4 linked regions of the Alligator mississippiensis genome follow. The protein of the gene in region 4 purifies or fractionates together with the protein of the main gene of each other region. This does not show direct contact. Links are inferred from orthologs where the notes say so. Each region holds a gene or a part of one and is shown on either strand. Other genes may lie near its edges. The genes, in order: PEAK1, ASAP1, EDC4 and CRK.

Region 1 (7,854 bases), on a different chromosome or scaffold from region 4:
ATTTGATCTCTTTTTTTAGACCAACCCAAATACTTTCTCCAACTATTTGGGTTGGTCTAATAAAAGATATCAAATTCACCCAAGGAACCTTGTCTGCCTACGTCCTTAGACCAACACGGCTACAACCTAAACCAGATCACAGGTCGGATATTTTCATTCTCATTTTCTATCTTTAATGTCCCTTTTTGTGACAGATATGCTTACAATATTCACATCTGCAATACATCCTCATGAGACAAATTCTCCCTCACCTACAGCCGAGACACTGTATTTCGATATCCCACTAATACAGGAACGTGAACTGTGACACACTGATTGCATATGACGAAGCGGCTCAGCAGGATTCCATCATGAATAGCAACTCAGGAAGTGGAAATAAGTGTGGAAAGTGGCAGTATATATGGAATATCTACTGTATGATCAATGCTTAATAAATTCTTTTGAAATTCTGGCTCCATTCGTAAAGAGCTCAAGAGAAAGTGGACCCAGCAGCCAGACACGCAAAACAAGGCAAAATACTTCAAACCAATGGCAGCAGCAGAAGAGAAAATCTTGTCAAAAAGTGACTAGATTGAAGAGAAGTAAAGAAAAACAATAGTCAAGCCCATCAGATAATGGAGGGGATGTAAAAGGCCACAAATTGAAAGAGGAAAAAACAAAGATACAGAAGCATAAACATAACAATAAAAGAGAAAATGGTCTAGTTTCACCTTGCTTTTGGGAATGTAGTTTTCATGTACCTCTTAAGATGACAGAAACATAATAGCTATTGTTAACATTTCTGATCCTAAACAATAACTTGTGATCACACTGCAGTTCATAATAAAACATTTAATTTTCTCCATTATATCAGAGACCATTAAAGATCTGTTTTGTCCAAATTCTTCTCCCTGTAATGGAGCTAAGCATGAATTTATTGCAATTAATTCAGCTATTTTGTAAGCATATGCATGACTATGCACTTAATTAAAACTCTAGAATGGGAATATATGGAGTTACATAAAAAGAAATCATTTGTGTCACCAAAGGTCTGGAACAGTCCTTTGCACAAGTACATATTATGTGTTTATTTTTTATGTTAAAAACATAATCATTACATCTCTTGATTTAGGGGAGACTCCTTTTACTCAGGCGCTGCGACTTCTCAAAATCATGTCATGCTGTGAAAAAACCAATATATAAGAAATTCAATGGCCTGCATCCCTGCAGGAAACTACCCACAACTTTAACAGCTCGCATATGTGAAATTGTAAATATTAAAAAGAAAAGCTTACTCTGGTTACTAAACTCATTCCTTGGGGTTAAAGTTGTGTTTGTTAAGTACTGGAAGGAAATACATGAAATGCAATGGCAGGCATCATTATGAGTGAGTCAGAGTGATGATAAGTCGCATAAAAAACAGAATCTGGAAATACACTGAAAGGAGCCATCTCCACAGATGCTCTGACAATAAGGTAAACCCATCAAGGAATGAGTACGTAGGATTACTCATGGAAAGTTACTCATGGAAAGTGGATAACTCACTACTTACATACTTCCACACTGCAAAAAGCAACATGAGGTTTTCCTGAAACACACACTACAGCATTAGGTTTGCCAAGAAGATGCTTCATCTGGACAAATCATCAGTTTCTACTTCGGCAAATTAAAAATCTTTCAGGTAATAAAAACTAAAGGTGAAACCAGGGGAAGCCTAGACAAATGACCAAGGAAAACGTTCTTCGTCTTCTACCTTGCTACTTGGGATCGAACTGCAGAACTGACCGACAACCCCTCTCCTTCACCAAAGACAATGACACAAAATTAAATGGACTTAAGTCAGAATAGGTATGACCATCAAGTTTGTAAACTTCTGCACTGTGAAGCCAAGGGAGTTTAAATGGCTTGTGGCAAAACCCATTGTTTAATTTCTAAAATTCCATCTACTGTTTTTAAGGCAAAGGTCTCAAAGCCTCCACCTTGAATTTTAAAACAACTCTCCGGCATCGTTTTAGACAATTCTTCCTGTCAGGCGCCCCCTGACAAGGAGATCCTGCCTAGGTTCACAGGCTCAACCCCCCCCCAAACCAACCCAACAAAAAAACCCACTCAAGAGTTAAGTACTTCAGCAGACATGAATCAACCTTTAAACAGCCAGGGGAAGGGGGGGAGGGGGAGGGGATCAAAGCCCAAAGAAATCTGAGCTGGACAAAACAAAAGCAGCCAAAAAATAAAGCCCCCGATTCACTCCAAGTTGGGAGACGCATCAATGAACGTTTCTCCTCCTGGTGCCAGCTCAAAGAACCGGGCGTCTCGTGCCAGGACCAGCTGCCGGGCAGCCCAGACACTCGCGGGCCCTCACCCCGGCACTGCAAGAGGAGTGAACAGCATCCCGGCCTCCACCCGCCAGCCTGAGGGGAGCCGAGAAGAGCGAGGCACCGTCTGGAGCCAAGCCCCGACGAAGCAACAGCAGCAGCAGCGAAGGGCGGGGGCGGCCTCGGGGTCTCGCTCCGCTCCCGGCGCCCAGGCGGCGGCGGCCGCGTCCACACGCGACACTAACGGCCTCCGCGGCCACGGCGCGCGCGGGCGGGGCACGGGACAAGGCGGCTCCGGTTCGGCGCCCCGGGCCGCGAACAGGGCGCCGGCGGTGGCTCCCGGGCGGGGCGGGGCCGGGCTCGGGGCGCCCGGGACCCTCCGGCCTCGGCCACGAGCAGCCCCGCCTCCGCCTCAACTTGGCAGAGAGGCCGCCGGAGCGGGGGGAAGCCCTCAGCCACTGCCACGACGGCCTCGCACCGCCCGGGCCCCGAGGCAGGGGCGCCCCCGGAGCGGAGCGGAGCGGAACGGGACGGACCCCCCAGCCCCCGCGGGGCACTGCCCTGCCCTGGGCCCCCCAGTACCTGCGCGGGCTCCTGCTGCGCGCGGCGCGGGGCAGGAGCAGGGCGCGCCCGCCCCGGCTGCGCTGCGGCCGAGCCCCGGGTCCGGGACGGAGCGAGCGCCGGAGCCGCGCGCACCACGACTTGCTGCGCCAGCGCCAGCGCCAGCCCCGGCCGCCGCCGCCACCGCGGGCCGGGCCAGCCCCGCCCCCTCCGCCGGGCCAGCCCCGCCCCGCGCCTCGCCGCACCGCGCCCCCCGAGCTCTCTCGGCCCCTGAGCTCAGTTCTGCGCATGCCCGGCTGAAGCCGACGCGACAGCACCTCATCCATTGGCCGGGATGAAGCGCGGTCGGAGCGTTCCGGCCGGAGAGACTACAACTCCCGGCGTGCCCCGCGCGCGCCCCGCCGCCGGCCCCTTTAAAAATGAACTGGTTCCGTTCGTCCCTATGGTGCGAGTGTTCTTCCGTCGTGGTGGGGGGACAAAGTAGTTCTCCGCTCTTTCTTAGTCTCGTTCTTTGCCGTGGTGGAGGGAGTGTCCGGTTCTTTCCGCTTCCTCTCTTGGCCCCCGGAGGAGCTTCCCCACAAGTGAGGCAGAAGTCTGGGAGCGGGGGTGCGAGGGGGCGGAGGGATCCAGGCTAGGGTGAAGTGGCCCGGCCGTGTGGTGGTGTGTAGTGCGAGGAACGCGAGACGCGGCTTCGCGGGGGCAGCCCTCCGGCAGCGGCGGCCGCGCCAGGTCAGTGTGGGTGGCGCTGCCTTGCTCCCCGCGGCCGGGCGGGGCGGGGTGGGGTGAGGTGAGGTGAGGTGAGGGTGGGCTGGGCTGGGCTGGCGGGGGCAGCGCCCCTCTCCGTCCCGCGGCTGGGGACCGGTCTCGTGAGGCCTCGCAGCGTCCCGCGCTCCTTCCCCCCTGCCCGTCTGGGCCCAGCCCGTCCCCCGAGGAGCTGAGGCACCTGGGCCAGGGCCTGCTGTAGGCGAAAGGACGTGGGGAGGAGTCTCCCTCTATGCCCCCATTGAGGGCGACGAGGTGTCAAGGTGGTGGTGATGGGGGTTTACTTTGCCTTTTAGGTTATTAATGCCCCCCACAGTAGGGAGCTTCCTGATAACATCTTCCCCTTGGAAAATCCACTTCAGCGCAATCTGTTCCCTGAACATGAGGGCCTGTCCTCGCCCAAAGGCCTCCAGTGCTCTGCTTTGCCTTGGAGCAGTGCTGCTGGAGCAGGTGTCGTGGCACAGTGGGGTGCTTGAGGTCCCTTCGTGGCACTCGGCAGGATCCTTGTAGTGGTAGCACACGTAGGGGTGGAAATGTGAGGCACAAGATGAGCCCAGCAGTTTCAGATAAGAAACCACAGTGTTTAAAGTGGTTTTGAATGGTTGTAAGTAACTTGGAATGCAACAGAAGAATGTATTATTATTTGTATGCAGGGGTTTAGGTTACAGCCGTGTTGGCCTAAGGACAGGCAGACAAGGTTCCTTGGGTGAATTTGATATTTTATTATTTGTATTATTTTTGTTGGGTTTTTTTGCTTTTTTAATTATCTTTATTTTATTTTTTCTGTATTATTTTTTTCCATAGTCAAAACACGAGTGAAAACTAACCTGATATTTTCCAAGGGGTGCCTTGCATCTAAAAACATTGCATCTAAAAATGCTGAGAATGGCCTGTAGCTGTGTAAACCTGACAAGAACTCGGTCCTTTCACTCTTGCTGTGAACCAGGACTGAAATAAACACAGCTGAGAGTTGTGAGTGTTACAGAGTTGTTGCTTAAGGAAGCTAGGAGCAGCTGCAGCCCCAAGTCTTCAAACAACTTGAATGGAAGAGTGAGTTGTACCAATCTTGTATCAGCCAGAACTTGCAACTTCATAGCAGTCAGGTTGCTCTATGGTGTACAGAGAAAACAAGTGGAAGTGAGAATAATCTGAGAAGGGCCTCAGGTTTAAATTGAGTTCCTTCTGTCTGGAAGTTGACATGAAATGCTGATTCCTATTAGGAATCTACCAGATTCCCAATTCCAGACAAGTTAGACAGTGCCATTCCTACTGGGACTACTGTCTGAAATTGGGTGAAGGGAAGAAAATTATATTTATCACTTCTGTGTAAAGTTAACTGCTTGCTAGTAGGGATCTGATAATTATGCCCCCCCTCCCACCTTCCCCATAACTTTATCCCTCCCTATGTTGCAGATGAGGGAAGATTGAGGCATTTGGGTAGATTAACTTCCTTAAAGACCATATAAGAAATCAGTAACAAAGTTGGGAATAGAACTCCAGAGCTCTGCATGTTCACCAGAGTACACTTACTGTCACTGTAGAATGGTGTGTGATGATTTTTATTTTTTTTTTTAAGTATAAACCAAAAAATATATTGTGAACAGACTTGTTTTCATGATAGCACCTAAGACATTAACAGACCCACATGTGTAGCAATGTGCAGGTTACCTGCTTTTATTCAAAGTGAAAACTCAATATGATTTTTATTTTCATATTTTTTCTAACACTATATTTGCATCGAACATTTGCTGGCAGAAGCAACTGACAACACTAAAAATACTTTGTGTTTTATAGTCTCATCTATCTAATGATTACAAAATACTTTGCAAAAACAGAGATCATAGTTATTTTAAAACAGAAGGAAGTGACATTCCTGTCTCTCTCGGAGTCTCCAATAGATCTGAAGATCGACCTTGGCATGTTTGATCCTAAGGAAAACTATTATTATGGGTAAAGTAGAGGATATGGATTAATCTTAAACATTTCAACCTAGGGTTCAGCAAAAAAGAATCGGGTGCTTTTTTTCATTGTAGAACCAGCTCTATTATCCAGAAGTAGATTCATAGATGTTAGGGTCGGAAGGGACCTCAATAGATCATCGAGTCCGACCCCCTGCATAGGCAGGAAAGAGTGCTGGGTCTAGATGACCCCAGCTAGATGCCTATCTAACCTCCTCTTGAAGACCCCCAGGATAGGGGAGAGCACCACCTCCCTTGGGAGCCCGTTCCAGGCCTTGGCCACTCGAACTGTGAAGAAGTTCTTCCTAATGTCCAGTCAAAATCTGCTCTCTGCTAGCTTGTAGTCATTATTTCTTGTAACCCCTGGGGGCGCCTTGGTGATTAAAGCCTCACCAATTCCCTTCAGTGCCCCCTTGGTGAACTTATAGGCAGCCACAAGGTCGCCTCTCAACCTTCTCTTGTGGAGGCTGAAAAGGTCCAGGTTCTCCAGTCTCTCCTCATAGGGCTTGGTCTGCAAGCCCTTAACCATACGAGTGGCCCTTCTCTGGACCCTCTCCAGGTTATCCGCATCCCTCTTGAAGTGTGGCACCCAGAATTGCATGCAGTACTCCAACTGCAGTCTGACCAGCGCCCGATAGAGGGGAAGTATCACCTCCTTGGATCTATTTGTCATGCATCTGCTGATGCACGATAAAGTGCTATTGGCTTTTCTGATGGCTTCGTCACACTGCCGACTCATGTTCATCTTGGAGTCCACTAGGACTCCAAGATCCCTTTCCACTTCTGTGCCACCCAGCAGGTCATTCCCTAGGCTGCAGGTGTGCCGGACATTTTTCCTTCCTAGGTGTAGCACTTTGCATTTCTCCTTGTTGAACTGCATTCTCTTGTTTTCTGCCCACTTGTCCAACCTGCCCAGGTCCGCTTGCAGCTGTTCCCTGCCCTCCGGCGTGTCCACTTCTCCCCATAGCTTTGTGTCATCTGCAAACTTGGACAGAGTACATTTCACTCCTTCGTCCAAGTCGCTGATGAAGACATTAAAGAGTATTGGTCCCAGGACCGAGCCCTGCGGGACCCCACTGCCCACACCCTTCCAGGTCAAAACCGACCCATCCACCATGACTCTCTGGGTGCGACCCTCTAGCCAATTCGCCAATAGATGTGAAAGATGAAGTGTGTGGACTTGTATTTGGGCCCAGAGGCAATAATCTGGCAAAAAGCCTGATTCATTTAGCATTGCTGGCTGTGCAAGGAGGCTGATTTCTACTAGGTGGGTATCTGCTATCCCTAAGTGGGGCTCACCTTTTTATCGGCATATTTCTTAGAAGGAGGGGGTGGGGGCAGTAGGAATGTAGTCTGGTTTCTAACCTTCTGTCTAGAATGTCATTGCTTCTGTGAAGTAGGAGACCTCCATTTTTCTGTTCTTCATGTTCTTGTTTTTATTCTATCTCTTTCAACTAGGGGTGCACTGATGGTGATTCTTCTTGCGGGGTAGGGGGAGCGACAATACTGATGGCCCACTCTTAACGAGCCATATCAGCCAATATCAATCTGATTGCCAATATGCAGCCCGGCAGCATGGAGAGCAGCATCCGCCTTGTAAGTCTGTTTTGGGGGGAGGGAAGGGATGTGGGGGACTCGGTCTGCCCCCCACACTGCTTCCTTCCCCCATGCCCTTTCCTCCACAACAGACTTACCAACCAGACACTGCTCTTCACACTGTAGACCTGTGCTCCTGGCCACCTGTGTGCTGTGCTGCAGCTGTGCACATGCACGTGGCATTTATTGGCAGCATTATTAACTACATCAGCCAAAAAAAGTCGGTTGCCAATAATGTCAGTTTTCCTTTTATGAATGCTGATATGGTATGGACCAATGTAGTGGTGCAAAGCTATGTTGACAATTTCACTGAAGCTCATAAACTTCTGAATAAAAAGAGAGAAGCTGAGCAGGATATTTGCTTCCCAGCGACATGGCAAAGTTATGATTACCAGAGACTGAGGAGCTATTTTACAAAGGCATCTCTATACTGATACACTTGCTTTGTGCTTGAAAAATTATCTTTTTGACTATTAGAGCTAGAAATACTTATTGTTAACACTTAAATTGAGTAGCAAGGTAAACCTCCTTATTTGCCAAGGCAAGTCAATTATTCAGAGTAGGCGGCAGTTGGAATGCCACTTGAATCTTCTTTCGCTTGTAGATTATATTAATGTCAGCACTTGGTGCAGGTATTTCCTCTAGGTTAGTTACATGCCTTGCCCCGATAGTACTAAATGTTG
Region 2 (7,434 bases), on a different chromosome or scaffold from region 4:
GTAGCTGTGGTTCTTTCTGGATAAGTACAGATAGTAAAAAAAAAACAACCCAGGCTAAACTGATTCAATCTTTGCAGGTTAGTCTAAACTGTGTAGATTGAACCGGTAAGCACGTGAACAGACATTCACTTTTGATTCTGGAAATGCAGCCACCTCCCTGCAGTGGCCCAAGCTAGAAGCCGGTGGGTGCTAGAGTACACCTCCCTGCTCACCTGGAGCAGACAGTTTGGGCCAAGGCTAGCCGGCATACCCTGTCAGAGGTGGGTTGTGGGGGAGGTGCAAAGCATCCTGGGATGCTGGGGGATTGTGAGCCAACTTGAATCTGGAGAAGTTCAATAAACTGCTTTAACCTAAATCTGTTAAATCTGATACAACATCCATCCAGGTTTATCTTAAACTGGTTTTGGCCATTGTAAAAGCAATTTATGCACACTGAACTTCTATTGTGTTACAGATTTGAACTGGTTTCCAATTATATATACCAGTTTATGTGTATTTTCTATCCCTAGCCTCTAAGTTAGTGTCAAGGCTCTTCTCATCTAGTTCAGTAAATTAACAGACCTTTCTTTAGTGGATACTGCAGCACTTATAGTCTTTCCTTGCCTTTTGGTTTCATAGTTCCGGTGTTATCACTTCCACATTTTTCTTTACCTTTGTTTTTGCAGGACATTTCCTTATCATTTGTTTTTATCAGATTTATCATTCCATTGAACATTCAGCTTACTCTTCTCCATCTGACTAGAACTGATCATAACATTTTCCAGTAACACCTGTCCAATAGCCAACCAAGCTTTGATCAAATGAACGTATTCACAGAAAGCAGCCTTTTTTCTCAGTATTTTCTTTTTTCCTTGTTTGGTTTTCAGCAGTTTTTGACTGAAAGGTTAATTTTGATTGGGGTTTAATTTTTGACAAATCAAAATTTTCCATAGAAGAAACGCATGAAAATGTTGTTTTCTTTGCAACTTTCCAAGGGGAAAAAAAAGAGAACTATTTTTCTAACCAGCCCTGCATCTAACCATTTGCTTCAATACTGGAAATAAAAGCAACAGCAATGGTACTTAAAGGGCACATCTACACGAGATGCTATGTCGCCATAGCAACAAGCTATGGCGATGTAGCTCATCGCTACGGTGATGTAGCATCAGCGGGCACTAACAGTGACACCACCGCTACTGTGCTGTAGCAACGAGCTACTGCGCAGTAGGGCTGAAAATGAGCCGTGCGCTGCCAGGACCCCGCAGTACTGGCAGATACTGCGGAGTCATTTAGTACATGGGATTTAGTACCTTAGCAAGCACTAGAAGACTGCACAGTACCAACTGTGCAATCGGGCATTTGTAGACATGTCCAGTGTACAGTAAAACTGGCTAAAGTAAGCTGTCTTTTTATTGCTATTCCTTGCTCACCCTGAAGTGAGTTCTGGCCTACAAAAGAATGCAGATGACCTCTAACAGATTTACAGCAGATGTTAGTAGCAGTCCATCATAACCCCATCTTCCTGACTGCTTTCTTCCATCTGACTCATAGTTTTCAAATGAAAAGCATTTTGATTGAAAATGGGGGTGGAGGGGGAGTGTTTCAGAAACAATAGTTTTTATTTTCAATAAAATGGGAAAAATGAACAATCCATCTTGTCTTTCTTTGCTGTTTTTGATCCTACCCTGTCTTTCTTTTGCCACTAAAAGCATGGAGCAGAGAAACAAAGGGGGAAAGAAAAGAGGTGGTGAGAAGAAAACTGAGGAAATGAGAACTTTCTTGGAAAAAAAAGTGAATAAAGTCATTGTGGCATGCAAAGGACACAGACATTTTTGCTTTTTTTCCCCCAGCTCGACTTCTTACATCATTAGGAAACCATTAGGCATTTGTTTTCACCTACTGCATTCTGCATAATGAAAACTTTGCATTTCTAAAGCTAAACTGGTGTTTTCTTAGGAGATGTATTTATAAGGATTCTTTAGTTAGAGTTCAAGCCATGTGCAAACAGAGCAACTTTCTGGGCCTTTTTTCAAAGTCTAGCTTTGCAAACCTGTGCTCCACCCTCCAAGTTTAAATTCAGCAAGACCTTGTGGGTGCCAGCTCCTCTAATTTATGGCAGTGATATCAGTGGCCTTAGGCATCCTGGCAGATAGGAAAAGAATGATGGGGGGTTGTGAGGAATTCAACTTTCCATGACTCACAAACAGGCCAGCAAACAAAGCTGCTTTCTCTGGGAAAATGTGAGGAAAAGAGTAAAGTGGAAGCACCTTTCTACATATCACCTTTTCTGTCGGGCCCACTGCTGCTCCCTCTGGGCTGGGAAAGGGAGGATGGACTTGGAGGTACTTTCTCATACAAGATCCACCAGAACAACCGTGTTCTGGGACAGTGCTCATAATTATGGTTAGACTGAAACTCCGGGCTGGAGTTAAGATATTTCTGGTGAAATGTTCCTGGCTATGGAATGACCTACCTAAATAGACAGGACTGAGCTTCTAGGCTTGACCCATCTTCAGAGCATCTTCCCCAAGCCTGTTCAGAAAAGGACTTGGATACAACCATGATGGAGCATACAATTCAAAAAGGATGTGGAGAAGCTTGAGAGAGTCCAGAGAAGAGCCACGCGCATGATCAGAGGTCAGGGAAGCAGACCCTACGATGACAGGCTGAGAGCCCTGGGGCTCTTTAGCCTGGAAAAGCGCAGGCTCAGGGGTGATCTGATGGCCACCTACAAGTTTATCGGGGTGACCACCAGTATCTGGGGGAACGTTTGTTCACCAGAGCGCCCCAAGGGATGACGACTAGGTCGAATGGTCATAAACTACTTCAAGACCATTTCAGGCTGGACATAAGGAAGAATTTCTTTACTGTCCGAGCCCCTAAGGTCTGGAACAGCCTGCCACCAGAGGTGGTTCAAGCGCCTTCATTGAACACCTTCAAGAGCAAACTGGATGCTTATCTTGCTGGGATCCTATGACCCCAGCTGACTTCCTGACCTTTGGGCGGGGGGCTGGACTCGATGATCTTCCGAGGTCCCTTCCAGCCCTAATGTCTATGAAATCTATGAAATCTATGAAAAAGCAGAGTAAGAAGCTGAACCTAAAAGAAATGACAAATCCATCATGCTCATCACTTTGGGATGCCTGGATTTACTGTCTATATAGTACAATATAAGGTATATTACATATACCTGGAGTATAGGATTTCCAGAAGAGAACAGTCTAGCTGGTGCAGAATGTGGCTATCCACTGCTGAATAATGTGGATGAATGAGAGCAGATTATTCCTATATCCAGTACCCTTTGCTGGCAACATGAAATTCAGTGTGCTAGCTCCCATGTGTAACGTTTTTAAGGACTCAGGAAGATCCAGCTACCTCAGGCAGGTGTTATATAGTTTGAGCTACAATGAAATAAGTGAACTTGTAAAGGAGATGGGAGGCAAGGCATTCATAGCATCATGACCTTGCCTTAAGTAAGAATTATTAACATAAAGAATTCACACAAGGCTACATTTCAGAAAACATAAATATGTCCCTATCCTGCCAATGCAAATGTGTTTGGCTTTGTCCATTTGAATGGTTCATGGATTTCCATGGGATTGCTTACACGCAAAGTTAAGTACATATATAAGCATTTGCAAAAGCAGGGATCAATTATCCACCTGCTTTTGCAAAAGACTTTATAGGGTCTTTAAATAATAAGGGTGCTGAGAACCTTAATTTGATATTTTCTCCAAATCAAATAAAATAACTACAGAAAACACCAAAAGATGTCACAAGCAAGAACCACAGCAACTTGCTGGCGTTTTTATTGTTGCTGTAATTTGTTTACAATGGAAAATAAATCAAAAGACAAAGTGGAAAGTCCTTCCTTAGGCAGCACTCTCCTTGTTTCATCTGAAGTTTTCCCTTAATACAGGCTGCAGGGTTTGCACCTAAAGTAACTGACAAAATGGAGTAAAAGTATATATATTTTTTTAATTCCCTGTTTCTTTAAGAGCTCTCTCTCTCTCTCATTTTTCAACTGCCCTTCCCCCATTCTGCTGCAGTCAGCAGAATAATAAATCATCAAGTGGTACCCTGAAAGTAACACATAAAAAGCTGTAGAAATCTGAAGTTACAGCAAAAGAGAGGGGAAAAAAGTACGCAAAAAAATCTAGATGGTAATAAAGCAAACACAGGACTAATAAGTGAACATGCTTAGCAGCACAGACCTTCACTATTCTGCTTTTGCAGTATTCAACTGCAATATCATTTCATTGTCAAATAAGGAATACTAACCTAAAAAAAAAAAAATTGCACATTTTTTAACTGAAACGTTGCCGTGCAGAAATCAAGAACAATAGAGGGAGAATCTTTCTCGGCTGTTAGGTTTTCAAATCAAAAGGGGTTTAAGCCGGGTGTTTGCTGCCCAGGCTAATGCACAATGAGAAGCTGTTTAGACTTTTGAACCCCGCTGGACAGATTAGGTTACAAGGCAGGTTTGATTTCAGCTCTGGCTGTCAGCAGGGGAAGGGTTAAGGGGAGACGCGGCATGTTAACTGTATCTGCGGAGATTCTGGAATGTTTATCCAGTGTTCAGATTTCCTGTTTGAGTGTTTGGATTTCCTGAAATCCTGGCTATCAACCCAAGTGCTGCCCCGTGAGCAGACGCTTTTTTTGTTCGTGCGGCTCACATGGTTGGCTTTCCTTCCTGCTCTCTTCCCAGTTGTAGTGCCTGTGTCTTCTCACCGCTCAGGGCATTCATGGATGCAAACCAAAACTTTTAACCTCCAGAACTCGGTGGATCCTCCTCCATTGGATTGCACTGGATTTGATTTTTTGTCTTACTGGGATTAATAACTGAAGAAACATGGTCTCTTTCAGCTGCTTGTGGGAGAATATATTTTAGCCTAAGATGGAATAATGGCCTTAGGTTTGAGAAGCAAATTTGGAATGGGAATTCAAACCGCACAAGTCCTGGTGAGTTCCAGCCCGTTGCACCGAGGTGTGGTTGGTATTGTAACCTTTAGTGCTGAGACAGTGACCGAAGGGGAGCGTGTGAACCGCTAATCAAAGACATAGATCCCTGCAACTGAAGAGTTAGGATTTGTTAGTAATGCTGGTAAAGCCCATTTTTACTTTTGTGCCATGCGGGCTGTTTGCAGGGCAAGCTAACCATTAATGAACTTTACCTGAGCAAAACATACAGGTGGACTCAATTCTGAAAATGCTTCCTCCTCCAAAGAGCCCCTACTCACGGGAGTAGCCTCCTTAATTTTAAGAATTGTTCCTGTGAGAAAGAGATCCTGGAGGTTTAGGGCCACTGCTGGTATAGTACAATATCTTCATCTTAACAACAAAGGCTTTTAAAAAACATAGGGATTTTATATCTGGCTTGTAAAGATATCTCTCCTAGGCCCTTTTGCATGCCATTGTTCATCTAGTTTTAAAAGGAATTTTGCAAAAAGAATCAATGCGCCAATTTTTTCCTATCATCTTTCCCAAAAACGAGTAGCAAAAGTGATAATTGGGTGCAGTGTGTTACTAGGGGCCAAAAAAGGGACTGTTTTGTATTGTAGGAAAATCACTTAAAGATACACTGCAGCGAATCATTTCTGAAACTGGAATAAAATATAAGGCTTAATGAACTTTATAACTTGGCTTTTGAATAGGAGGGTGCATGAGAGTGGCATTAGCGATACATTTTTAATAGAGCCGCAGTCACAAATGCAGGGTCTGATGGCCTCAAAATTGAAGAGGAATTCTTAGGGCTCAATCCTGCAGACCTCACCAAGTCACATCTCCCATTGAAATCACGTGAGCATGTTGTCTGTCCACAATAGAAGCTGCCCTGTTGTAATGTATTTTATTGTGCCCTGAAATAAGTATCTAGTGATGCTGAACCTTTCTAAGTTGTCTGAATTACTTTGAGGGTTTTTTTGCTGTGGCAGGGGGATTACAGTGCCCCAGAAATTGCTTAGATACTAGGCAACAGTTGCACTGGAGGTAGTTTTTAGTTTACTTGAAATATTTACACTTCAGCATTGTCCTCCCAGTGGAATAGTGAAAGCTTCCTGAATTTTAATTTTCAATATTGCGGGTCTCAGGTAGTAAGGCAGCTTTCAGATTAAAATTCTGGGTACCTTAAAGTGAGAAAATGCTTTGCCTCCTTTGCATTTGTAAATGGAAACTGCCTTTAATGTGCTTCATCCAGGTCCGTGAAGATTTTGGAGGTTCTAAACAATGGCATTTTTTAGTCCTCCCACGTCTAGCACAGTACTTTAGATTGAATCCTGAAAGCGTGAGTCGAAGTCACCAGCAGATTTCTGTAAGCAAGGCTGACAGGATAAGCCTTTTCTCCTTTCCTTCCATTAAGCTGGCAGCTATGCTGTTTTCCTTGTATTCAGGTTGTGATGCTGAAAAGAAAATAATCACTACTTTACTTGATACATGGAAAGTCAAGATACCACACTTTGCACAGACACTTACAATCAGATGAACAGCTCAATAGAAACCAAGGAGGGATGTGAGTGAGAACTTCTGAACCACATAGGGATATATCAGATTAGATTTTTGGTGATAACGCTGTGTGGAAAAGACAATGTATTAATTTGGCTATTAGTTGATAGTCTCATCTCCAAACTGGCCTATCTACAACACTCGTAGGAACCTGAAATGAATGAATTTCTAAATCAGAAAGTCCCTAATGATAGTCAAATGTCAGAAAATTCAGAGGGTGAGCAGAGATTAAATGTTGAAAAAGGCTTATCAGTCTCTTGGGCTTGAAAATATGGTTGACAATCTAATGAGAATAAGTGTTTTTTCTGTGCTTTCTGGTTTGGGTTACGCTGGAAATGCGGTGGAAATAGCTTTTCTGGTGGTATTTTGGTATTTCCTCTTTTGCTCACACCCAGAACCAGGAAGTGTAGAAGCATAAACTTTACTTCTTTGTGTGTGCTTTTTTTAATTGTGACCTCTCTCTTCCTTTCCTTTTCTTTTCTTTAACATAGCCCTCAAATATTTTAGAGTTAGTTTGATTTGGACGTTAGTCATTATTTAGAACTCTTTCTGCAACTGCAGAAAGCTATTTTTCTTTAAATACAAGTAACTAAAATACTAGTTTTAAATATTCAGAATGCAGTAGTTTCAGTCCAGCTACCTATAGGCATGTGTGAACAGGACAGTCATAGACTCATAGAGAAGTAGGGCTGGGAGGGACCTCCAGAGGTCATCTAATCCAACCCCCTGCCTGAAGCAGGATCATCCCTGTCCAAACCATCCCATAATTTAAACCCTACATAAGACTACCATCAATCTGACACAACATAGACCTAATACCCTAACCTGCTACAGGTAAGGCAGGAAAACCACATCAGCCAATGTCCTACTTCTATAAAAGGTTGTCAGTATATGCTCAAGAGATCCCAGGTAGAGGGTCGTGCCCTCTGCTACCGATGTGACCATGGGGTAAAA
Region 3 (7,838 bases), on a different chromosome or scaffold from region 4:
ACAGGGTTTCCCTAACAAAACCATTGCTTAGCAGATAGCAAATTTATTCCATCCAACTCCAGGGCAAGGCAACTAGCATTTACTTTTAGAAATATTTTGGAGAAGACAGGCCAGAGATGTAAACAGACATAAGATGGAAATAAGTAGAGATGTCTGCGAACACAGAGAGAAAATAAGACCTAAGGAGGAGGAATAATAATTACGATGGAAGAGAGATGAGAACGACAGAATAACCATAGTCCTAAATCAGTTTCTTGGCTCCCACCAGAAGTTTCTTCGTACTTTAGGAAACAGCCAGGCCACCTGAAACAAGAGAAGCAGTTTTAGATAACTATGGAACATACCTTCTTTTCAAAATCCAGGCCCTCTCTCTAGGCCCTTGATGGAGCAGATACTTGCCACTACAGTGATAGTAGAATGAACCTGGTTTTAGTGTAAGAGGCAGAGACAGTTCTGCAGTTATAAATTTGTTGCAATAGAGGAGAGAGAGAGATTTTAAAAAAATGGCACTGTAACCCTGGGCCTGCTTAAGAAACCAAAGACAAAAAGAAGACATTTAAAATAACCAAAAAAAGCTGAGATGAATTCACCCTAACTAACCACAAAGAACGGTTTCAATGTGTTACAAAACACTTTTGTGGGTAAATAAATAAATACATTCACTCAACACATGATTGACCGGTGGGATCACTCAGCAGGCAATGCAGATGATTGTTCCTGCTTTGGGAGAGAACAGAAAGAAAGATTTGAGACAGAGATCAGATTTCTTCAGATAAGCAGGACTAAAGAGGGTACAGTGAACAATCCATCATGGGAACAGAGGGACAATTCCAGAGAGACTAAGTGGCCCATCCAGACAATCCAGTAAAGAGCCTGAAAACAGAATGGGAATTATGAACCAGGAGCATCTGAGCTACTGGAGCAGCACTTGCTTACAGCTACTGTACCTCACAGAAAACAACCTATAAAGAAGTAAGTGAAAGGGAATCAGAGGGCATCACATTCCCCATTCCAGAATACAAGGGGTTAATTCTAATGAAGGCTCTATTTCAGACTATCCTTGGGCTAACAATCCAATCACATCATCAGACTGGTAAGAAAAGAAACTCCCCTGCAAACTCTCAAAAGTGAAGACAAAAAATGAAAACCAGGAAATTCTCTGTTAGCCAATCTTAATTCTGTCCTCATATTTCCTGCTCACCTTTTGTGTACGGACCAGGTAGTGTAACCTGCTCTCCATGGCTACATCAAAGGGGTGAAGATTCAGCCCATGAGACTAAAGAGGAAAGCAAAGTTGCCAGGGCTGCTACTGCCCATGTACATAGATTAAGCATCAAATGCTCTTATCAGGGTAATGGAATAAGAAGAGTCTTCGCCTAGATCAGGAAGACAAATAATTTCCAAATAGGTGGACAGTCTAAAGCTTGAGCATGGTTCAAGAACAACTACAATGGATATAACTACACAACAAAACGGAAGTGTTATAAATGGCTTGAACATAATCTACTCATTCAGACCACTGTTCTGAGCCTGCAACCTGGACAACACTGGGTGCCTCTGCACGTGGAGTAATACGTTATTGTTACTGTGCATTAAGTTTAGTACCTGGAATATGAAGTACTAACTAAATGCACAGTAACCTTTGCTATTGCACAGTAGCATCGGTGCACGGTCTTTTCATGATGCTTAATATGCAGCAGACTAATACTATTGCGCATTAGCGCAGCTTTTGCCATGATGTGCTAATGTGCAGTAGAATTAGTCTACTGCTCATTATCTTGTGTAGACGTGCCCACTGTGTATGGAATTAGAAACTTCTAAGGCAGCTGAGTGACAGTCACACGAGGGCCCTGTCAAGTAGCAAAGCGTCAGAAACATAACAGGTACTATTAAACCAAGGTAGGCCTCACCACTTACAAAGCCAGAGAAAGCTGATAGAGAGCTGCTGAGAGGAAGATGAACCAAGGGTTTAACACTCTTCTTTCTTTCACTATTTATTTTAACTTTCAAACTGAGCTAAGAAATCTAATGAGGCTTGAAGTACAGAAAACAGTACCTGCAGCTCAACATTTCAAAGCTTCTTGCCCCCGTCTCTCCTCCCCACCCACAACAGCCCTCCGAGATCCAGGCTGGCAGCCTGCGAGGGGGGCTCCTGTAATTTGATTTGAATGAAAGTAAATAGCTCGTCATGTAAACACATGTTGACCAAACTTGCCATGGGACCTGGCCAGTGAGGTTTTCTGCCATGTGCAGCAGGATGGTCGGACACACAAGATGTTCCCCATGGAGGCCCGTGCTGGCACGCTGATGCCCAGGGATGAAGTGCTGCAAGCTGGGCAGGGGCCCTGGAGGACTGAGCCTCTGAAACGAGGGCAAGAGAGAGCCTCCTGGGGGCTGCGTTCTGGCCACATCAATAATGGGGCAGTGCAAGTCAAAAATGCCAAGTGCTCCCTAACCTGCGTGACTGGGTCCAGAGAAGGGAATCAGACCCCTGCCCAGGGTGGCTGCTCTCAGCCAGCGACTGTTTGGGCAAGGCCTAGTTGAGGGACTGGCCTGGGAACCAGACCGGGCCGGACCACAGTTTACAGAGGGACCCACAACCTCCCGGGGAGCACGTTTAGGCTGCTGGACCCGGGGGAGCCCCTCCCCGCCTCACTCCTCCCCCCGGGGCGGCAGGGAGGGACCGCTGCAGGCTCCTGCCGCCGCCGGCGAGGGGACGAGCAGTCTTCGGCTCGCGGGGCCGCCACAGGCGGGGCGCGGGGAGCGAGCAGTCCCGCGGGGCGCAGGGATGCCCGAGGGCCGGCCCCGGCCCGCGGCGGCCGCGCCCTGCCCCGGCCGGCGGGCTCCAGCCCCACTTTCGCACAGGGGCGCCGCGTGCCCGGCCCGGCCCGGCCCGGCCCAGCAGCCTCACCTCCGGGCCGGTCCAGCTTGAGGATGTCGCGCAGGTGCTGGGTCGCGTCCTCGATGTCGATGCTGGCGGAGGCCATGGGCCCAGCCCTACCGCTGCCGCCGCTCCGCGCCCCCGGCCGCGCCCCCACTTCCGCTTCCGGTCCGTTAGCCGCGGCTCCGACGGAAACGGGCGCCAGCGCCTCGGGTTCCGCGCGAGGGGGCGGGGCCTGGGCAGCGCGGCCCTGGCCTGGCGGCGGGAAGGAGCGGAGCCGGCGGGCCGAGCCCTGCCTGCGGGCGGCAAAAGCTGCATCTCCCTCGGCAGCTCGAGGCGTCCGAGTCGGAGCCCGTGACCGCCTCAGCCCGTGGAAACCGCCGCCAAAGAAAAAGAGCGGCTCCCGGGTCCTGCCTCCCTGCAGGAGGCCTGCGCCGCTCTTTGCGGTTCGGCTTCCCCTGGGAGACCAGGCCCGCACCGGGAGCCTCCCTCTGCTCTGGGGCTGGGAGGAAACCTTAGTGCCATTTTCTCAGTTGACCTCTTTTCTCCTTGTCCTAATGGGCTGCCACCTCCCAGCTGCACAGAAGCATCTCTGCCCCAGGACATGTACATCTGACCTCCTCATCGTAGAGCCAAGGGTGGAGGTTTGCTCCCAGAACCTACTTTCAGCTCACTTGGGACCTAACCAGAACCCATCTTCCTCCAACCAAAGTAGCAGGGAATACTATGATCTCAGATAGATACCACTTTGCTTTCGCCTCAGCCCTTGCCTACTTTGATTGTAGTAGGCAAGGGCTAGAGGATACAGGATGCAGTACCCTGGCCTGCTTTCACTTGCTGCTTCTGGCTGAGTTAAAAATTACTTGCTTGTGCTTAACCTTCAGTTATGCCAGACACCTTATTAATGTCACATGGCACTTAGCATGAAATTCACAGCACTGACCAGGTTTACCACTGTGGGCCATACTGCAGGAAGGAAGGGATGTACTGAAGCGTGTGTCAAGACAACGTTGCAGGAAGGCTTCTGGCTGCTCTTGAGGGAGTGAAAAACAACAGCTGGCTTCCATTAGAAGAAAGCTCTCCCACCCAATACAGTTTGAAAGCACAGACGGCAGCTGCTGTCCCTACAACTACAGTTCAGGAAAGAAAGCCACATTTAATGCATTTGGGGAGATCTGAGATCTTCCCTTAACAAGAATTTCAGGTACTCAGAACAAATTTGGCCTGCTACAGAACTGGCATGACTTTAACAGCATCCTTCCAAGCACAGGGGTTGGGAAGGAAGGAGGGTGAGCTGGCAAGGGTCGTTAGGTTTAGTTACCTTTCAGTTAGTACCCAAAGATAGGAATGTTCCATTACAGCTCCACTGAATGGTTCTCAAGTCTTCTCTGGTTTTTTGAGTGCCGGGTCCCAGCCATAATTTGACCTCTACTTTCTAGGCTTGGGCTCAAGCAAGTAACATTTGTTAAAGAAATCTTTATTAACACATTTGTCACAGGTACAATCAGAACAAGCCAACATCATACAATAGTTTATATTAAATGTATAATTTTACTCCACATAACTGTTCACCTGATATTACCTGCAAAGCTATTGCTGAATATTGTCTACAATTTTACAAAGATGTTTTCCTCTAAGTATGTAGAATGCCCTCCATATGGTACTGTGTAAGCTCTCTCCCGACACCTACTGCCAAGTTTTATTCAGTAATACATAAGCAAAACTCTTGGTAACATTTTATTTTTACATCTAGTGGACAGAAATAATGACCCAGAGGTATTCTGAAGGAGGGTCACATTTGAAGTATTAGCTTAGAGAGAGGTAACGTAGTCATCCTATTTGTGACAAAAAGCATAAAGGCTTTCCAGTCCATTCACAAAAAAGCAGCTCTGGCATGATAGCTAATAGACCGGGCCAGGTGGTCATACATTTGGCACAGCTTTTTCACAATGCCTCTTGGGTGCCATTTTCCACAACTGAAGAAATTTCAAGTATATGGTGCAGGCTACCTTAAAAATTCTCCCCCTTCAGTTTGGGCCAGGATCAGAACTCATTTTCCCTAGCCAAGACAAATCTAGATATTTATCTATACTGCCTGCAACTGCAGTACATAATTGCCATCAAGAAAAATAAACTATAAATACACTAGGGTTGGAGGGTAATATTCACAATGAGAAGTTAATTGCAAACATAAGCTAGTCATTCCCGTCTTAGATGCAGAGAAAATGGTCTTCCCTTGCCCATCCTCTAGCCAACACATGGGAGTAGGTGGAGTGCCCAATGCCTGCAAGAATCACATTCAAGGAGTTTTCTTAAGGCACCTTTTTAATATGGCTATTAACACTGCTAATATTAAGGCCAACATGATGTTCCAGCCCAGCTAAGCATGAGATGGCTCCAAATCTCATTCAGTGTGGGCAGGACAAGACAGGCTGCTTAGAATAAGAATCTCAGGTATAAAGAATTCAACCTTCTCCCACCTAAGAGAATTAAAAGGGGCAGCAACTTTACTTGTCCCTATCCCTCTTAAAAGCCTTCTTAACATTTGAAAGTGACTAGTCTTCAGTCCAACATTTGCGACGAGAAATGGATACTAGTGCATGACCCATCAATACAACAGTTAATGTTGGACCAAATGGCTTCTCTTCTTAAAAGAAGTCCTTGAGCTGAAGCAGTTACTAAGAGACAGCAAGTTTGTCCGCATACTAAGGGCTCGAGGAATGCACTGGTTTCCCAGAAGCATTTTATGCAGCATTGGCTCACTTAGGAAGTAAAATTGGCACTTATGTCTCCTCTGGTTAGCGAACCAGGGCTGAACAGCAGAACGTGGAGAAAGGGAAAAGTATAATGTTATGCAAGAAGCTTCAAAGGGCAGCTAATAGCTCTCTTCTCTGAAGGTCAGAAAGGCTGCCAGGAACAAGAGGTCATATACTGAGAGATTTTTTTTTTAAAAGACCCATCAGGGGCATCCCTCAACTCTGGTATTTAATCTACTCACATGCTCTTAATCATCGAGTTGGTTGCTGATGCTCAGGAACCAACCAGGCTTGGTGGACAAGATCTTTCTGCAGACCAGGTTTGACTGGAGAGTCAGACCTTCTCCCTCAGATTCCAGAGTGGACTGGAAGCATTTGGAACTGGAGGCTAATACCATAAAGAAGGCTTTTCCAGTAGCTCCTGACCACAAAGAATGGCTCTTTTGTTTATATGGATCTTTCTCTTAAGGACTAATTCCTTGGAGGGATTAACACTGTGAATTATTTCTATGCCAAACGAGCATAATAGGAAATTCAGTATTCTATTTCCATTTAACTTTCAAACAGACAGTGAGGAATAGAAGAGCAAGTTACTGCTAATACTACTAAAAACAAAGACAGTACATTTATATCATTTTAGAGAGCCCCAAGATCAGTTTTCATGAAAGCTCAACTCCAATTTAGACACCAAATTAAGCGGCCAGAAATTCAGGAATTGAGCAGCTAAGCACATCATACTGAGTTTTCTTGGCTTCTTAAAAGTCAAAACTGCAGAGTTCTGTGCACTTTTGGAAAAAAAAAAAAAAAAAAAAAATCAGACCAAGCTGGGCATACTGAGCCCTTGAAATCTGGAACCAGCAGGCTATTCAGCTATGAAGTGAAGAATCCAATCCTATTTATGTGGCACTTTTTTATCTTGGAAAATATAAACATACTTGATAAATGCACTTCACTAGTGAAATGCTGCCACCCTTGGGGCAACATGTAGCAGCTGGCTGCATAATATTAAGAACACTATGCACTGGTTTAGGACAGAGTACAAAGAATGCCATACCCAGCTCAAAACTGCAGGACAGGTTTAGATAAGCTAAACCAGAACAGGAATTTAGCCAGGACACTGAAGCTAAATGCAATTTTGAAAAAGGAACCAGAAACCCCCTCAAGGTTCTACAGACAATTAAGGAAGTTGGAAGTTATATTACCCAGTGTTTAAACACAGGGGAAATACTGCTGGCATATTTAGCAGGGAAGGCTTGGCAATGACTGACATCACAGCAAGTGTTATGACAGATATCAACTTATGCAAGTCACCAGGATTGTCAAGATTATGCATTATCTTCTGTTTTATGTAGAAAGATTAATATATTAAAGAAAAAACTTCAAAATCGAGTATTTTAAAGGGGAATATCAACATTTGAGCCCAAAGCCTCCACGCTGAGGGGGATAGGGAAGAGAAGATATCTATATCTATGGCAAAGGCATATTTGCCCTAACCTGCAACAGTAAAACATGGATGGAGTGTTCTGTTAGCACTAAAAGGTTACAAGGGTTTTAGATCTGTAAACATTTCCCAGAGAGGCAGACACGGGAGAACCAAAGAATTGACTGTAAAAATTTACAGTTATGCACTCATTAAAACAATTTAAACTGTTAAGAAAATCTCATGGTTTTATTGTGTAATGTAGCATTGAAACATCTGAACAAATGAATATCTGGGCTGTATAGGCTGCTGTTCTTTCCTTTCATTTCTTTGGGTTACTAAAGCAACTTGTCAGTACATAAACAAGCAACCTTTTGCATTATGGATTCTTTCCGAGGCATGCTGGTACAACACAAATTTCTCTTGTCAAATGCAGCTAAGTCTAACTTCCAAACATCATGCACAAGGAACTCATCTAGTGACAATGTAAACTCAGCAGAAGGGCAGATCACAGGTCTTGCTCACTCACTCGCTGCGGTGTTGCAGGTTTGTGTATGATATTTGGAATGTTCCGTGAGTGTGAATAATATCAGGAAGAGGAGAAGAGAAAGAAAGCACTGGTGCCTGGGGGATGCCAGCTCAGCCAAAGTTGTGCAACGCTAGCCTGAACATGTCATTGGTGCAAACCCAGGCATCGTTGATGTTCTTTAATAGAAACATCTGGTGGAATCCCATGATTGGATCTTCATCAGCCTGTGGAGAGAGGGGAAAAAAGGATTTT
Region 4 (7,445 bases):
CTCAACACTTCTCCCGACAGTGCCAGATTCTTGAGGAGAACAAGATAGTGCAATCTTGCAAACAGGTGGGACAGGAAGTTTACAGCATACGAGACAAAGCAATGCTTCAAGAGAGCATCCTGAAAAGTCAGTGGACAATTGTTACGACTATGCACACCAAAATGCTATTATTTTTTTAGGACATATTGCATCCTCCCATCATTAATAATACTTTGGAAATGAGCAGATGCAGTAATTACTCAATATGACTGAAAAACGAAGCTGCAGCCTAGAAAGACAAGAGAACATTATTTCATAGAGCTGCTTTTCAATTTTCATCAATCATTTCTCTTGCTCTCATGATGAGCTAGAATAAATCCATTCTTTAATAGATTTTGGCTATTCTATTCATTAGTTTTTGTATCTGTATTGTTAAATAGATCTCAAAAAACACGTGACCCCTCAAAGTCCAACTTTTTTTGTTTTAAATATACTTTTAGTATGAAGCATCATAAACAATGTGATACGCAAACATGATCTGCTGATATTAAAGGGAATTTTTCAAACTGGAAAGGCAGCTACAAATAAAGAAATTACTACTATACATTTGGCAACATAAACTCATTTCCTTACCTAGCAGAGATCTACTCATTACCCTGCTGAAAGCGTGTAACAACCCAACACCTCCTGAGCAGATTTGTAAACACATTAGGAAACTAGTTTACAAAAAGAGATGCATCGTGCTATCCACTTCCGGAAGAGTAGGGGGCAGAAGCAGAGTTAGTTTCTGATGCGTGGCCTTTTAAACGCTTAACAAGCTGTACTCCAAGCCCTGGGGCAGTGTGGGTGCCAAGGCCCACAGTTGACAGCCCAGAGACCACAACTTCAAGGCCCGAGCAGAAGTTCTCATCGTGCAACCTGCCAGATCGCAGTGAATCTGAGAGCTCTGCTAAATACCTTGTCACAAAGACACAAAAAGGAAGAAAGGTTCCAAACCTCAAACATGGGAAGACCTACACATAAGTAATCTCACTTTGTTAAATGGAACTGCCCATATGCAAAATAAAAGAAGTTTTAGCCAGTGTTGTGCAATGCACACCACCACAGGATGGTTATTCAAGGTCCTGAACACATTGACTGAACTTCCAAAGCTTGCCTAAGTCACTTAGGAACTCAATAGTGGGACCAGTGCTCTTCAACTGTACCTTTTAAAATCCCACTCTCTACCCCAGTGGTTTTCAACTGGGGTGCTGCAGCACCCTGGGTTGCCTCGAGCTCTTTTCAAGGGTGATGCAGGTTGCCACACATTAACACTCTCAGGTGTACAAACATGATTCACGAGATAAACCCAGAGATTTCACATAAGGATCCACTGCATTAAACCCCTGACTTGCTATGGTCTGAGTTCTTTGCAACAGAAGAACTACTCTACTTATTATTTTTTCTGTAGTCAAGATAAACGAGGGAAAAGCTAGAGCTGGAAAAGTGAGGTCCCAACCAGCCTTACAAAGTATACGAATCACAAATCTGTTACCAAATTACTATAAATCCTACAAATCAAATGTTATGCATGCCACAAAGCAAAAGACAATAGGCTCAACAGACTAAGCAACGTACCCATATCTAACTTAATTTTCCTGAACACAGTCAATACTCTCTTTTCAAAACAACGTATACGCCAGGTCAACTTCAACAGTGTGTTCAGTGTGTTATTGCTGGAAATACAGAATATATCCCCCCCCACCCCACACACACACACACACACACTTTTTTGTAAAAAAATAAATAAATAAATAAAGGCTAGTATCCAGCCTTTGTAATCGCTCCTCCAAAAGGTCCCAATTTTTCTACTCCTTTTTTCAATGCGAACACTAGAACTACGTTGTATGCTATGCTTCTACTGCTGCCACACACCCAGGTAAGACGTCTCCTATTCCATGTTCCTGTTTATACAGACACGGGGATCGTGTTACCAGCCGCACCGGACCGAGCCTGCGCCCAGCGCGTGACCCGGCAGCAAGCCGGCGTTCCCCGCAAACATCGTTACCGTGAGATACCCACAGACGAGGCGTGTTCCTCATGCTGTAGCTAAATATTACTTGGCTATTTTTTTTCAAATCGCATCCAACTTTGCCATACTGCATCTCAAAGCGCCCCTTAAAGAAATCATAAAACTCATCACGGTCACGGCCCCGATCTGAAAAAAGAACGCAATACAACTCTTTTCCAGGAAGGTCCAATTCAATTTCTCTTCAAATATCAACTTTGGAAGGACATTTGAATTAACTTTTGAATTTTCCTGTTCAATTTCCCTTTAGATAAACACCAGATTTTAAACTCCGTAAATGCTGCTGTTCCTTCCCGGGCCCCGGGGGGACGGCTGGGGCCTGGATCGGGTGGCAATGTCGGAGCTCGGGTCGCCTCAGGCCACCTACCTCAAGCGAGGGCCTCGGCGCCACCCGCCCCGGCCCGGCCCGGCCCGGCCCGGCCCCCAGGCGCAGCAGGAAGACTGGCCCCGTGTCTCCTGGTTTAGGCCGCCCGCACCCGCCCGAGGCCAGGTAGCGCCGCAGGCTGGCCGCGCCGCGCCAGGAGGCGGCAGGGTCGGGGCCGCGCTCCGCTCCGCTCCGCTCCGCTCGGGGCAGGGCAGGGCAGGGCAGGGCAGGGCGGGGCGGGGCGGGGGAGCGCGGCCGGGGCCGGGCGACGCGGCCTGAGCGCAGCCCGCGACCCCCCCGCAGCCCGCACTCACCGGGGGCGCCGGGGCCCTCTCCGCCCGCGCGCCGCCCGCCCGCCGGCCCCAGGCTGTTGACGATGTAGTGCGAGACGCGCGAGCTCTCGGACACCGACAGCACGAAGTCGCCGGGGATGGTGCCCGAGTCGCGCACCAGGAAGGTGCCGTGGCGCTGCCCCTGCAGCAGCGACACCGCCTCGGCCCGGCTCAGCCGCCCCCAGTACCAGCTCGCCCGGTCCTCGCAGTCGAACTGCCCGGCCATAGGCCCTGCGCCGCGGCCCGGCCCTCCGCGCGCCCGCCCGCCACCCAAAATGGCGGCGCCTCTGCTGACCTCACCTTCCGGAAGTGACGTGTCGCGCGCCAGCGCTCAACGTCATCTCTGTGCGCGGTGGCTCCAAGGGGCGGGGGCATGGCCCGGTTCGGCCACGTGGTCCGCGGTCCAGGCGGGAAGGTCTTTTTCAGTCCCCCTTCTTTACAGAAAGAAAGAAATGAAAACCAGCCCGTTGCTGTTCAGTGAGAACTGGAAGAAATCCCTGCGGCTCAATGCTAGTGGGCAGCTGGGGATGCTTTCTGTACAAGAGTCCCGTGCTGACTGACGGCGCGCTTATTTTGAAGAACTTGAAACTGTGCCGAGATGTGTCTAGTAGCGAGGGATGCATGACAGCACGTGCCACAATAAACACAGTGATCCTGCCGATCTATCCCTCTCTCCTCCTCCTTCCGCAACAAGGGGAATCGCTTTAGGTAGTCAAATATGATCTTTGCAGCTCAGTGTATTTTAATAGCTGCACTTCATACACACCGAACTGGTTTGGACTCATGCATCCGCGTAGCGTGGTCAAAACCAAACCAAACCAAACCCCTCCCGGTGCTGCCCTCCTGGGCCGCACCCCGCCCACTGCAACCGGGCCACCAGAGCAGAGCACGAAAGCCGGCTCCGCGCCGCCCTCCTGTGGCACAAACGCGCCCCTGCAGCCGGGAACAAAAGCCAGGGAACTAAAACCCTGCTCGGTGCTGCCCTCGCGTGACGCGCGCCGGGCACTGCAGCCAGGGGCGAGGGCGGAGAGACAGCGCGCCGGGCTGTGCGTCTCGCTGCGCTGCGCTGCGCTGCGCGGTGCGGCCGGGGCAGGGGCGGAGAGAGAAGAGGAAAAAGGCCGCGCTCGCTCGGGGCGTCACCGGAGCAGTGCCCGCGGGCGGGGCCGGCGCGGCTCGCGCTGCTCGGGGCGGACGCACGATTCTCGGGCATGGATCCCGGCCGGGGAGCGCGGCAGGGCCGGATCCGAGCCTCGTGCTCCCGTTGGGCGCTGTCTTTGTCAGCAGAGCTGCGAGTCACTCGGAAAGGCGCACGGGAGAGCTCAGCTTCGCTCTGATTGGCTTCTACCAGAGGAGGCGGGCCCTGAGGGCTCGCCCGCCCCTTGCTTTCATTCTGATTGGCTGTCGGGAAATGTTGGGCGACTGCGATCCCCAGCGCCCCAGCCCGGCGCGTTCGCCGCCCGCTGAGCCGGAGCCCACGTCCCGCTGCCGGGCCGGGCCGGGCCGGGCCCCCGCGGGCGGGCCCGCAGCGCTGCGGCAGCTGCTCTGGCGCCCAGGGCGGGTCGTGCGGGACCCTGCGACCCCGGGCGCGGGCAGCCAGGCTCTCACAGACCAACGCCAGAAGGGCGGTGACCGACGGGGTGCACGTGGGCCCCGCGGACACCGTTCGCTTCTGCGCTGACGCCGAGACCTCCCTGGAGAGCACCCTGCAAAGCACCAAATTACCCCTTCTTAACGGGAAAATAAAATGGAAACCTCGGTTCACTTCTAGGGAGAGTTTGGGCCCTTTGGTGTAGAGCAGTCCAATACTGAGAGCAGGGGTGCAGTGACGGCGTTGGTCATTGCGGCGCTTACTTTGAAGAACTTACATTGTGCAGAGAGGAGTGCAGTACGGGGGTGTACCGGCATGGACATAGCGTGTGTGTAACACAGTGATCCTATTCCTACCGCTCTCTGTCTCTCTCAGTGGCGATAGTGATGTAGGTGTTCCTCTCTCACCCTTGCACACCACCGCACACGAGTGTCTGTAGTGAGTGCGGGTATCACAGGTGTCTCGCGCATCCGCACTTGGTGTGAAGACAAACCCGGCTCAGTGCTGCCCCCCGGTGGTGCGCTCCGAGCACTGCAGCCACAAGGAGCGGAGCAGCAGAGGGTTGACGAACCCGCTGCTCGGTGCTGCCCTCCTGTGGTCCCGTCGGCGCATTGGCGCAGTCCGTGAAGGCGGAGGAAAAGCCGGGCTCAGAGCCGCCCTCCTGTGGCCGCGCGGGGCATTGCGGCGGGGAGACCCGGGCGGGCACCTGGCAGAGGTGAATGCGGTGATTGGCTACGAGGGTTGTGTGGGCGGGACTAGGACGGCTCCGTTCCTATTTCGCTCTGATTGGTTTGTGCGGAGAGAAAAGGCGGGGAGAGGAACGCGCCCTCCTGGGCCACATTCTGATTGGCTATTGTGCTGTATTGACAGTGTGCATAGCTCTGCCTGCCGATTGGTCCAACTCCGATCCCCCGCGGCGCCCTTCAGCTGACCGGCGGGCGCGGAGAAGGCAGTGCCGGGCTGGCAAGGGAGGGGCGGGGACGCCCCATGGCCCGGAGGCCGCGCGTGTCCCGCTCCCGGCCCGATGCTGCCTCTTTTCTAAGGTACAGGACAGCCCGTGGCTGTTTGGAAAACACTGCAGGCCTCGCTTCAGCCCAGCTCTAGCGCGGCCTTGGGACCGCGGTGTGACATGTGGGGAGCAGGGCACTGAAGCGCCAGTGCTCGGCGCTGTGCACTCGACGACCTTGCACCTAGACAGAGCAGTGTGTGCCAGCGACGTGTGTCCCGAGATCTGCACTCCGCGTGTGCGCAGGACGCGCCGCAGCGAACAGCGTGAGCCGAGCGCCGCGCCCCGTCTCCGCGCTGAGGGGAGGGAACCGCTTAGCTCTCCTAATGCCACGGCGCCTGCGCCTCGCCACGTGTTTAGACGGGCAGGGGCAGGGGCCGGGTCCGTCAGTCCCGTGTCCCGCATCCCTCCCTGCAGTGTTCAACCAACCCCGCCGTGCTGCCGTCCTGCGCCGCGCCGCGCCGCGCCCCGCCCCGCCCCGCCCCGCGCGCGGCAGCGGGGCAGCAGGGCGGGAAGCGGCTCGGTGCCTTCGGCGCATGTTTCGCACGGCGCTTGGCGGCCGGGGGTCGGGGCACGGCACCCCGGCCCGGAGCGCCGCCCTGGGCCCGGCAGCCAGCGAACAGCCGGAGAAACCAGAGCGCGCTCAGTGCTGCCGCCCCGTGGCGCGCACCGCGCGCTGCAGCCGGGAGACACGGGCGGGGACCGAGAGTGAAGCGGCTCCGGCCGCGCCCCTGCAGCTCGGGCAGGCGGGAGATCCCGGCGGGGAGGGAAGAAGCAAGAAGGCGTCGCTCGCTGGCTGGCTCGGGGGCAGGGCCCGCGGCCGGGGCAGGCGGCGTCGCGCTGCTCGGGGAGGACACACGGCCCGTGGGGAGCGCGGCAGGGCCGGGATCGCAGCCTCGCGTTTCCATTGGCTACAGCGAGGCGTGAGGCGATTGGGTGGAGCGGCCGCATGGGAGGGGTCAGAGCCGCTCCGCCCTTCTTTGCTCTGATTGGCCTCTGCCGGAGGAGGCGGGCCCAGGTGGTCTCCCGCCTTCTCCGCGGTCTATTTGGAGTTTGGGATTGGTGAGAGTGTCACTGTCCGTGTGCCCATTGGTCCGACTCCGATCCCCGCGGGCCCGTTCCGCCGGCGCGGCCGGGGGAGGGGAGGCGAATCGCTGCTAACAAGACGTGCGCTGATTTTCTCTATTTTAAAGAGAAAACGACGCGGAAGCCCGCCGTCGGGGGTCAGCCGTGCGAGACTTCCCGCCGGCTCTGGCGCCCGGCTGCGGGCCCGCGGCGCAGAGCACGTGCCGCTCCGAGATGGACGTCCAAGAACTCGGCACTGTCCCGGGTGTGACACACACAAGAAGGGGGGGGGGGCGCGCGTGCGCAATACACACCGTAACAGCCGCAGGGATCCTGCTACTCGTCGTAGCGAGGGGCAGCGGTGTAACGCGTTCCCCACCGTTATGTTCGCTTCTGTGTACACAGCAGTGTCCTCACTTTTGCAGACAACGCGTACGTTGCGCACGCGTGCAGAGTATTCACATACTTTGTTGAGAAAACTTCTCAGCGTTGCCGTCCCTCCTGTCCTTCAAGCTGGCTCCAGGCGGGGAAGCGGAGTGGGGCAAAGCCCCCAACAAGCGCTATCCTACCCTTCAGCCCCCCTCCCCCCAGCACGGGGTGCCCCTCACCCCTGTCCTGGAGCCCCCTATTTCTCCCGGCTGCCCCTCGGCCCTGGCTGAGCCCCCACTTGTACCCAGCAGAGACGCGCGCTGCTCGTCCTGGACTCCTGCACAAAGACCCCGCTCCTGTCAATGCCCCGCAGGCCCAGCCCTCTGCTCCTGGGCACCTGTGGCCAGGACTGCTCTCCCCTCGGAAGAGACCTCAGTCCTGCCCTGCAGCCCTGCACTGCTCCTGCCCCAGGCTCTCCCCTGCCCAGGCCCAGCCCCACAAGAGCGATGCGAGGGCCCCTACTACAGCCCGGTGTTGGGCATTGCTGCTGAGGCTGTAGCCCGCGACCTGAGTGCGGGATGGGCCCCCTCCCCCTCATGCGCACCCCTCAGGACTGCACCGTGGCGGGGGGCACAGGAGGGAGCATCACCTGCTTTGTGCCGTCCACCTAGCCA

The links.
Region 1: the proteins of CRK (region 4) and PEAK1 purify together in Homo sapiens (affinity purification with mass spectrometry; 4 studies listed by BioGRID and IntAct, with this or other methods). This does not show direct contact. The link is inferred for Alligator mississippiensis from reciprocal best matches to the Homo sapiens genes CRK and PEAK1.
Region 2: the proteins of CRK (region 4) and ASAP1 purify together in Homo sapiens (affinity purification with mass spectrometry; 3 studies listed by BioGRID and IntAct, with this or other methods). This does not show direct contact. The link is inferred for Alligator mississippiensis from reciprocal best matches to the Homo sapiens genes CRK and ASAP1.
Region 3: the proteins of CRK (region 4) and EDC4 purify together in Homo sapiens (affinity purification with mass spectrometry; 3 studies listed by BioGRID and IntAct, with this or other methods). This does not show direct contact. The link is inferred for Alligator mississippiensis from reciprocal best matches to the Homo sapiens genes CRK and EDC4.

What each region holds. Positions count from the first base shown.
Region 1 is NC_081834.1:29,249,606-29,257,459, reverse strand, and holds the start of PEAK1 (inactive tyrosine-protein kinase PEAK1), read right to left. Parts: upstream 3,014-7,854; 5' UTR 2,877-3,013; intron 2,435-2,876; exon of another isoform or gene 2,342-2,434; intron 1-2,341. Other genes in the region: HMG20A (high mobility group protein 20A), read left to right, coding at 4,660-4,667. UniProt on the Homo sapiens protein: Probable catalytically inactive kinase. Scaffolding protein that regulates the cytoskeleton to control cell spreading and migration by modulating focal adhesion dynamics. Acts as a scaffold for mediating EGFR signaling.
Region 2 is NC_081826.1:16,088,684-16,096,117, forward strand, and holds the start of ASAP1 (arf-GAP with SH3 domain, ANK repeat and PH domain-containing protein 1), read left to right. Parts: upstream 1-4,422; 5' UTR 4,423-4,941; intron 4,942-7,434. UniProt on the Homo sapiens protein: Possesses phosphatidylinositol 4,5-bisphosphate-dependent GTPase-activating protein activity for ARF1 (ADP ribosylation factor 1) and ARF5 and a lesser activity towards ARF6.
Region 3 is NC_081833.1:34,088,637-34,096,474, forward strand, and holds the start of EDC4 (enhancer of mRNA-decapping protein 4), read right to left. Parts: upstream 3,051-7,838; 5' UTR 2,988-3,050; coding exon 2,912-2,987; intron 1-2,911. Other genes in the region: NUTF2 (nuclear transport factor 2), read right to left, coding at 7,697-7,810. UniProt on the Homo sapiens protein: In the process of mRNA degradation, seems to play a role in mRNA decapping. Component of a complex containing DCP2 and DCP1A which functions in decapping of ARE-containing mRNAs. Promotes complex formation between DCP1A and DCP2.
Region 4 is NC_081837.1:284,056-291,500, forward strand, and holds the start of CRK (adapter molecule crk), read right to left. Parts: upstream 3,031-7,445; 5' UTR 2,970-3,030; coding exon 2,726-2,969; intron 1,744-2,725; exon of another isoform or gene 689-1,743; coding exon of another isoform or gene 613-688; intron 1-612. UniProt on the Homo sapiens protein: Involved in cell branching and adhesion mediated by BCAR1-CRK-RAPGEF1 signaling and activation of RAP1.